2 linked regions of the Nothobranchius furzeri genome follow. The protein of the gene in region 2 purifies or fractionates together with the protein of the main gene of each other region. This does not show direct contact. Links are inferred from orthologs where the notes say so. Each region holds a gene or a part of one and is shown on either strand. Other genes may lie near its edges.

Region 1 (4,172 bases), on a different chromosome or scaffold from region 2:
CACTGGTTAGTGACATCTTAATGCTTGCTGTTGAACAACATGTTTCTTGCTATGATTTCACTGTTTCTAGCAGCATAGATGAAATTATTAAGATATATTATTATGAAAACTGCAGATTATATTATTCATGGTTTTTAATAATCTATTGTAAACCAGAAACAACCCCATGCTAGATGTTTGACCCTACAAAAACAGAAATATTGCCGAATTAGCCAAGTATGTAGTAAAGAAGAATGCCTCAGAATCCATGAGCATATGCCAGCTCAGGTGCAAATGCTGATAATAATCAAGTCTAAGAATATCAAAAATTACTAACATGCACACTTTAAATCTGATCTCTTATTCTAATCTGCTAAAAGTAAAATGTTGATGTGATGCACTTTAGGTTAGTTAGTCCAACTATCTTCCAGCCTGGTGAAAATTAACTTAGAATTGAAAAATAAGAAAAAAAATGTTCTTTTTCGCATAATTGGGAAAATAATATGACATGCACCGTGTTAATATGTAGAACATTTGTTTACTGTTGATAACTGAGAAACTGATATTGATAAATACACCCAGAAGCTGCACACAACAGCACAATTTTGAGAATTGACCTGTCATTGGGGTAAACACAGGTTTAGACCCCACTCATGATCCCACACTGCGTGTAAAATACTTTTCAAACTCTTTTCAAACTCATCAAGGATTACTTATTAACAACTGAGACTCCCATGAAAGAGTGCCACCTGCTGGAACTATGTTTAATAGACATGGAGCAGAGATACGCTTAAACAATATTTTTTTAAATCTGATTGATTCAGAGAGGATGATGGTTTACTGGGGTTAAGTAAGAGATTTGTGATTTTAAAATTGTTAAATTGTTGATGAACCCTAGCACATACTTCATGTTTTAAGTTTATTGTCGTACATTTTTATTGTATTATACCAGTAAAGGTGGTGTTTTTTAATTTGATGTCTCTGTGTAAAAGTATTACGTAAATGGATGCATTAATTTTAGTTGTGACATTCTTATTTTTGTAAATAATTGATTGTGATTTATTTGACATACAAAGACAGCATGCATTCCTGTAGGAATAGATTTATTACTTTTTGTCCTTTTGTCAAATTAATTTTGCACACAGGTAAAAATGGGGCGCTGGTTATTTAAGGTGGAAATTTAAAAAAGGAAAGCAAAATGGGTGCAGCCCAGCCTTGAAACACAAAAGCCCCCTTTAATCATCTACAGCACCCCCATCTTCCTTTAAAGCCGCCCCCACTCCCCTCCCTCCCTCTTCTCCTGTCGAGGTGCATTGTGGGGAGGAAAGTCGTTGCCATTCGACCTCTGCGGGGCCTGCGCGGACGCAGCGAGAACCCTGAAATTCATTATGCGTTTAAAACCTTTATTTATTTCCGCATAACCTACATACTCTCACCGGGAGGTTCGAGCCGAGACCAGAAACGACGGCGGTGCATCTCTTTCGAACAAATCCATCGTTTGTAAATATATTATTTTATCGTCGGAAGGGAGATACTGTCGAGAAAGTGAAGATTGTAACGTTTTGTATATTAAGGGGAAAATGTCTGGCGAGAGAAACCGCAGGTCGTTGGCTTTCCGAGGAGGTGGATTAGCTGGGTTAACGGGTTCCAGCAGCATCGGCGGGGGGAACTGTAACAGCTGGGAGGCCCCGGCCTGTCAAGATCGACATTTTAACGGGAATCGGTCGGATCAAGAGGAGGACCGGGATCTGGGAGCGAAAGGACCGTCGCAGAAGAGAGTGGAGGGCGCTGGATCTGTCAGCGATAGCACGGAACCCGAGGCGGAGGAAGAAGAGGACCCGGAAGGGGGCAGCTGGGCAGCTAGGGACGTTGAGGGGCTCCGTGGGACCAGGGAGGGCAGTAGCTGGACAGCGGGGAACGACACCAACAACAACGAAGACGGTCTGGAGTCCCGGAGCGCAGCGAGGGGTGGGGAGACGGGCTCCAAGAAATCCGGGGTAGAGATGAGACCGCAGACGCTGCTTCAGAAACACTCGCTATTCCACGCTTCGTGGCTGCAAGAATTTCCATGGCTCAAATTTAGCCAAGAGACGGGACTCATGTCTTGTTCTTGGTGCCACAACATTGCCACTAAAAACAGCGACGAGCTCGTGAAGGGCAGCCGAAATTACAAGCGGGCCTTGCTGCTGAGACATCACCTGTCTTCTGAGCACGGCAGAAATGACCCCACCAAACAGGTAACGTTAGCTGGCTTTCGTTTACCCACGTAACACGAAATACCTGTCAAGCAACCCGAAACACTATATGCCAGTACTTCTTTTGTCTCTAATGGCGTTTTAGTAAAACCAATAAAACACAACCGAAGCGAAAAATGGTCTTTTGATTTCAGCGTCGCGAGCCCTTCCTCGGGCTAATTAGTTAGCCTCCGCTTGCTAACCTGAGCTAACAGCTAGCTTAGCTTTCTAAATACTTGAGGCGTTGCTGTCTAACCAGAAGTAGATGGACAGACAGGTCGTGGGACATGCTTAAGATCGAAACCTGCCCACTTAATATTAAACGCGAAACGTTTCCTTATTGCTTTAAGGTGTTAAAGATCGTTTACTGTACGAAAGCTACAAGTACACACCTGCTCCACGACACCTGCCATCTGCACAAGAAGTGCATGTTTTACTGGCTTTGAATGTTTGCATGAGATAAACCGATCGAGTCTGGCTATGTTGGCTTGCTTTCTGGTTTCTTTGCTTCTGTTTGTAGTCATTTTAAATTGATGACTGAACGAATATTTTTTTCATATTTATACGTGATTGCCTGACTCGGATCCCTTTTTTCATGAACAGAAACGGTTAGTACTCACAAGAATAATACTTTTCCACTAAAATGCCAACCCACACTGAATTCTAAGACATTTGACAATCCCTCTATAAAAGAAGTACACTTAATAAATAACTTGCATTTGATCCACCCACACACACTGAATCAGACCATCATGGTACCAGCACCAAATGTACCAGTGCTAAGATTGTGTTGATAAGACCTTTATGCAATAAAATAGAAAATCACAAGTGTATTGTGTTAGGATTAATCATTTATTTTTTTCCTTTTGGTGTTTGAACCCATTAAGCTGACTCTCCTTTCAAAATGCACTATTGATCTCAAACAACAGTTGGATTGTTGACTCCTGTATTTAACAGTTTTGGCATCATTTATGATTGCTAGCTTGCCAGAGGTCACATGATAGCATCGGTTTGACCCTGACAGCCTTTGGGGAGCCGCACCCCTACCCAACCCCCCACCTCTCATGCGAACTCTGCTGCCTTGCAGTCATGGATGACCTCTGGTGCCGTTCTTCCTCCACAGCCACCACCTCCTCCTCCCTTTAGGGAGCTAAATTAGAGGCATTGTGCTAGAATGACCCCCCAAAATCCATAGACGGTGTCACTTGCAAGGCTGAACGAGAGGAGGAGAGTAAATCATGCTGCATGGTGGCTGAAAGCTTGCTTGCCCAGAGGCGACCCTTGGAAGGGTTGGAACCTGAATCGGTCTTCATTATTTCTAGATTTGTAGCTCTGATTTCTTTAATATATTTTCATGCAAAGATTATGCAGTTACCTTAACCCAAAGGGGTACCAAGCCACAACGGTATCCGCATTCTGCTTAAAGGCTCCAGCCAGATTTGCATTTGGAGCATGTCTTCACTGATAGGCACAAGATCTTTTTTTATCGCTTTATTAACGTTACTGCAGTGTAGACATTTCTAATGAGCTGTCTTCGTCATGAAAACAAACATGGCAGATTCGCCTGTGCGGTTTGGTGAAGATCATTTATTTTAATTCTTTGCTGCTCATAAGGCATCTCCATATCTCGACCCCATTCTGAAACTGGTCTGAGCTGTCAGGAGAATTAGGAACGGGGCCCAATTTGACTCTAATTTGTGAGCGAAGAGGATTTCACCACTACATTTAGGTCCTTCCTTTGTACACGCAATCGCTAATCAGAATGACTTAAAGTCGTCCACCAACTTGTACACATCTCTAATTGGTAAGGAGGCCTGTAGGAGTGGATTAGAGGCTTGGTGTGGCCTTTTCCCTAGTAACAAGGACCCCAGATGCCGCGTTGCTAACCATTTCCTCCTGCAGAACCCAGGAGGGTTCACATTTTCTTCTTTTATCTTTTAAAAAGCTCTTATTTTTTGT
Region 2 (3,650 bases):
GCAGCTGGGTGATAGCTCTGTGATAGCTTTGGCTACACACTGCCCTCTTCTGGTCAAAGTGCATGTTGGTAACCAGGACAAACTCACAGATGCAGCATTGAAGAAGGTGTGTTTTAAAAAAAACCACTTGTGTTTCGCCAACAAATACTTTTCTTGTTGGCTTTACTTGTTTTTAGTTTTTACAGATAAAGTATAAAGACATTTGGAGTATTTATTATGTTAGAATGATTTATTTATGTTTTTGTCATCAGCTTGGATCAAACTGCAGCGAGCTGAGGGATGTCCACTTGGGTCAGTGTTACGGCATCACAGATGAGGGCATGATGGCCTTGGCCGGAGGATGTCCCAAACTACAGAAACTCTACTTGCAAGAAAACAAAATGGTCAGTTTGCCTTTTCTTTGTCAGCTAGCCGTCTGCTCCCTGCTTTCTCCTTGTCCTGTATAAGTTCTCTTCATACAGACACAAAGGCACGCGCACGCTGGTCGGGCAATGTGATGTTGGTGATTGAATAATTAGAAAACGAATGCAGCCAAATCTGTAGGCCACGACTACACACAGTTGTTAATTGATCAAAGAATAGATTTTTATCCACCTCTGGTTTAGATGTGTCAAATAATTGACAAATCATTTTCTTTTTTGCTCTCACTCTCAGTCTTCAAAACGAATACAAAAGCACCTGATCATAGACTGATTAAAAAACAAAACAAGGAAAAACAAATTAGCTTCAGGTTGCAATGTTTCTCTTTAATAATTTTATATTTTGACAAGTTTACAGTTTAAATTAACAGTAAAGTGTAAGAAAAACTTGTGTTTTCTCTTTTATCCCCCAAAATACATGTGAAATGTGTAAAAGTTAAATTAATTTGACACAATTCAAGATATGGATTGATAAGTATGCTAATTTGTAAATTTTTACACACACTCACGCATGCACAGACACACACACACACACACACACACACACACACACACACACACACACACACACACACACACACACACACACACACACACACACACACACACACACACACACAGAGAAAATAAGTGTCTTAACTGACCACCAGATGTCATTTTCTTTTCCAAACAGCTGACCAACTGATTCATCATTGAATGCCTTTCTACTCCCAACATCTCCTCTTTGAGTGACTGCTTTGAACTTTTAAAGCTAATTAATTCATTTCTGATATGTTATTAGTAAGAAGGCAGACAAACTCCGTTTCTGTTAACACAACACCCATCTTGCTCAGCCATCTCTCTTCTATAGTCATGACTCATTCTCCATCTTACTGCACACACGTTGTGTCTTAAGGTCCAGGTGCTGCACTTCTTCACAGTTAGTCTTTTTTACCATTCTTGATATTGTGTTTTTAAATCCATTAATACGATTTATTTTAAACATTTTAAACACAGTTTGTTTAAGTTAGCATCATGGTGCGTCAAAATGTGAACAGTATCCCCCTCCCTCACAAAGCATGGCCCTCTGACAGATTTCTTCTTTCCAAACGCTCGTTATCTCCATCCTCTTTGTTTCACTAATGCATTCCCATCTTTTCCCAGCTAATATTCCTTTGGAGTCGGTGAGTAATCATGACCTTGATGAATCGGCCCAGTGTAAATTGTCAGTATTAGCTCACTTTTTTAAAACCCCATTCATCAACTAAATAGTAAAGGAAATTAGCGATTAGGGCTAGGTGAGAGATTAATATTGCTGCTGATAATATTTCAGCAGGGCCGTATCGATTTCAGATGGTGATATTTCAGATGTGCGAGGGTTGCAGTTATTTAGCTTCCCATCATTAAGGCAGAGAGGAATGGGCTGTGCTTATACAGGAATTACGTCGTGGAAAGTGGTAATCTAGTTGCCTGGCCCACAGTTCCCATTAACTTGCCAGAAGTGATGATGACGGGGAAGCCTCTTATGCTCTCTGACAGCTTGGAAGACAGTTTCAGGTTCTCCACCTTATTGCTGATTTTATAGCTTTGTGGGAAGTGGTTGAAATTGCAGTCTCCAAATGAACGTGGTGCTTTGAGATCTAAAAATATGCTTCAACGTTTAGATTTTGACACCAAATGAGGGCTAATGGCCGAGTCACATATGAGGTGTATAGCAGCAGTAGCTCAGGTGGTAGAGCGGGTTGCCTCATGATCGGAGGGTCATGGGTTCGATTCCAGCTCCCGCCAGGGGTATCCTGCTGTTGTGTCCTTGGGCAAGACACTTCAACCAACTTGCCTGTGTTAGTGGTGGTCAGAGGGGCCGACGGCGCCAAATGGCAGCCTCGCCTCTGTCAGACCTCCCCAGGGCGGCTGTGGCTACAAGTAGCTTACCTTCACTATCAGTGTGTGAATGTGAGAGTGTGTGAAAGCGTCTTTGGGTGTCTAGAAAAGCGCTCTATAAGTTCAATGCATTATTATTATTATTATAGCTGTCTTGTACTTGGAGAACCTGGTTTCACACTAAATCAGAGAGATTAGAGACCACAAGAAAGGCTTTTCTAGAAGGTTTAAATATAAGTTTGTGGGAGCGTCGTTTGGGTTCAGTGAGCTGAGCCGTGAGACGGGCTGTTTGAATGGCAAAGTCGTGGGACAGAAGTGAAAGTGTCCTACTGAGATTCTCTCCTCCCCTCTTCCTACACCACATTCTTGTGTCTGTCTGTCCTAATCAGTCACAGATGAAGACGAGCCTTCCTCTCACTTTGATCTACCCGTTTTGTCCTCTTCGTTCTACAAAATTCAATAGTTAATTCTCTTTTGGGATGTGTCTTTGTCATGTGAGCACCCACAGATGTTGCTTTTCTCATTTTTCCTGCAGGGGTTTGTTTTTGGGAGTTAAGACTATATCAGGCTTTGGAAATGCTTGAATAGCTTTTAAGAGAAGATAATGACTAAAACAAACAAATGGTTGTTGTAAGAGAATAAACTGTTAGCTGCGGTGCTCTTGCAGGATGGAATATGTAATGAAAGTAACTTTTTTCATTTTAAAGGTCTTGTTCTCTGGAAAATCATGTAATACTTGGTCTTTTAAAATCTGATCAGTTGCAGATGCATCCCAAACAAAAGTATCCTCAACTCTTGTTGCTTGCATTAGCAGCAGAAGGGGATAAAAAGGTTCAGGGTCAGATAAAGCCGATCTTTTCTCTGTCTGAGGTAAAATTAGCATTCCTTTACAACGGTGCATTCATATTGTGTCCAGGACGCGTCATTTGGATTTCTAGGATGTCCAAGGAAGATCCTGCCTTTCTCGTCTCTGATTGGCTAGAAAGGCTCTACGACGATTGGCTATTTCATTTAACAGCAAACTGGCTGTCCTCGCTGCTGACTGTGTCCTGGGGGCACAGATCATCAGTGCCCCAGACAAGCTGGTTCTCAAAGTCAGAGACTCTCTTGGTCAGCTTGCTTCTCACACCAAACCTTCCGTCAGGAATCTTGGCGTGACCTTTGACCCGGCTCTCACCCTGGATTCTCATGTCAGCTCTCTTGTTCGCTCTTCCTTCTTCCATCTCAGGAACTTTGCTAAGCTGAGTCCCATTCTGTCCCGCTCTGAACTTGAGACAGTTCTCCACACCTTCATCTCCTCACGCTTAGACTACTGTAACTCTCTTTTCACGTGTCTGAGCAGAACCTCCCTGAACCGTCTACAGTTGGTTC

Evidence for each region. Proteins that work in one complex are often made in the same cells at the same time.
Region 1: the proteins of fbxl17 (region 2) and zbtb10 purify together in Homo sapiens (affinity purification with western blotting; 3 studies listed by BioGRID and IntAct, with this or other methods). This does not show direct contact. The link is inferred for Nothobranchius furzeri from reciprocal best matches to the Homo sapiens genes FBXL17 and ZBTB10.

The regions. Positions count from the first base shown.
Region 1 is NC_091759.1:557,548-561,719, reverse strand, and holds the start of zbtb10 (zinc finger and BTB domain-containing protein 10), read left to right. Parts: upstream 1-1,353; 5' UTR 1,354-1,559; coding exon 1,560-2,216; intron 2,217-2,605; coding exon of another isoform or gene 2,606-2,669; exon of another isoform or gene 2,670-2,684; intron 2,685-4,172. UniProt on the Homo sapiens protein: May be involved in transcriptional regulation.
Region 2 is NC_091757.1:53,109,613-53,113,262, reverse strand, and holds part of fbxl17 (F-box/LRR-repeat protein 17), read left to right. Parts: coding exon 1-106; intron 107-251; coding exon 252-383; intron 384-3,650. UniProt on the Homo sapiens protein: Substrate-recognition component of the SCF(FBXL17) E3 ubiquitin ligase complex, a key component of a quality control pathway required to ensure functional dimerization of BTB domain-containing proteins (dimerization quality control, DQC).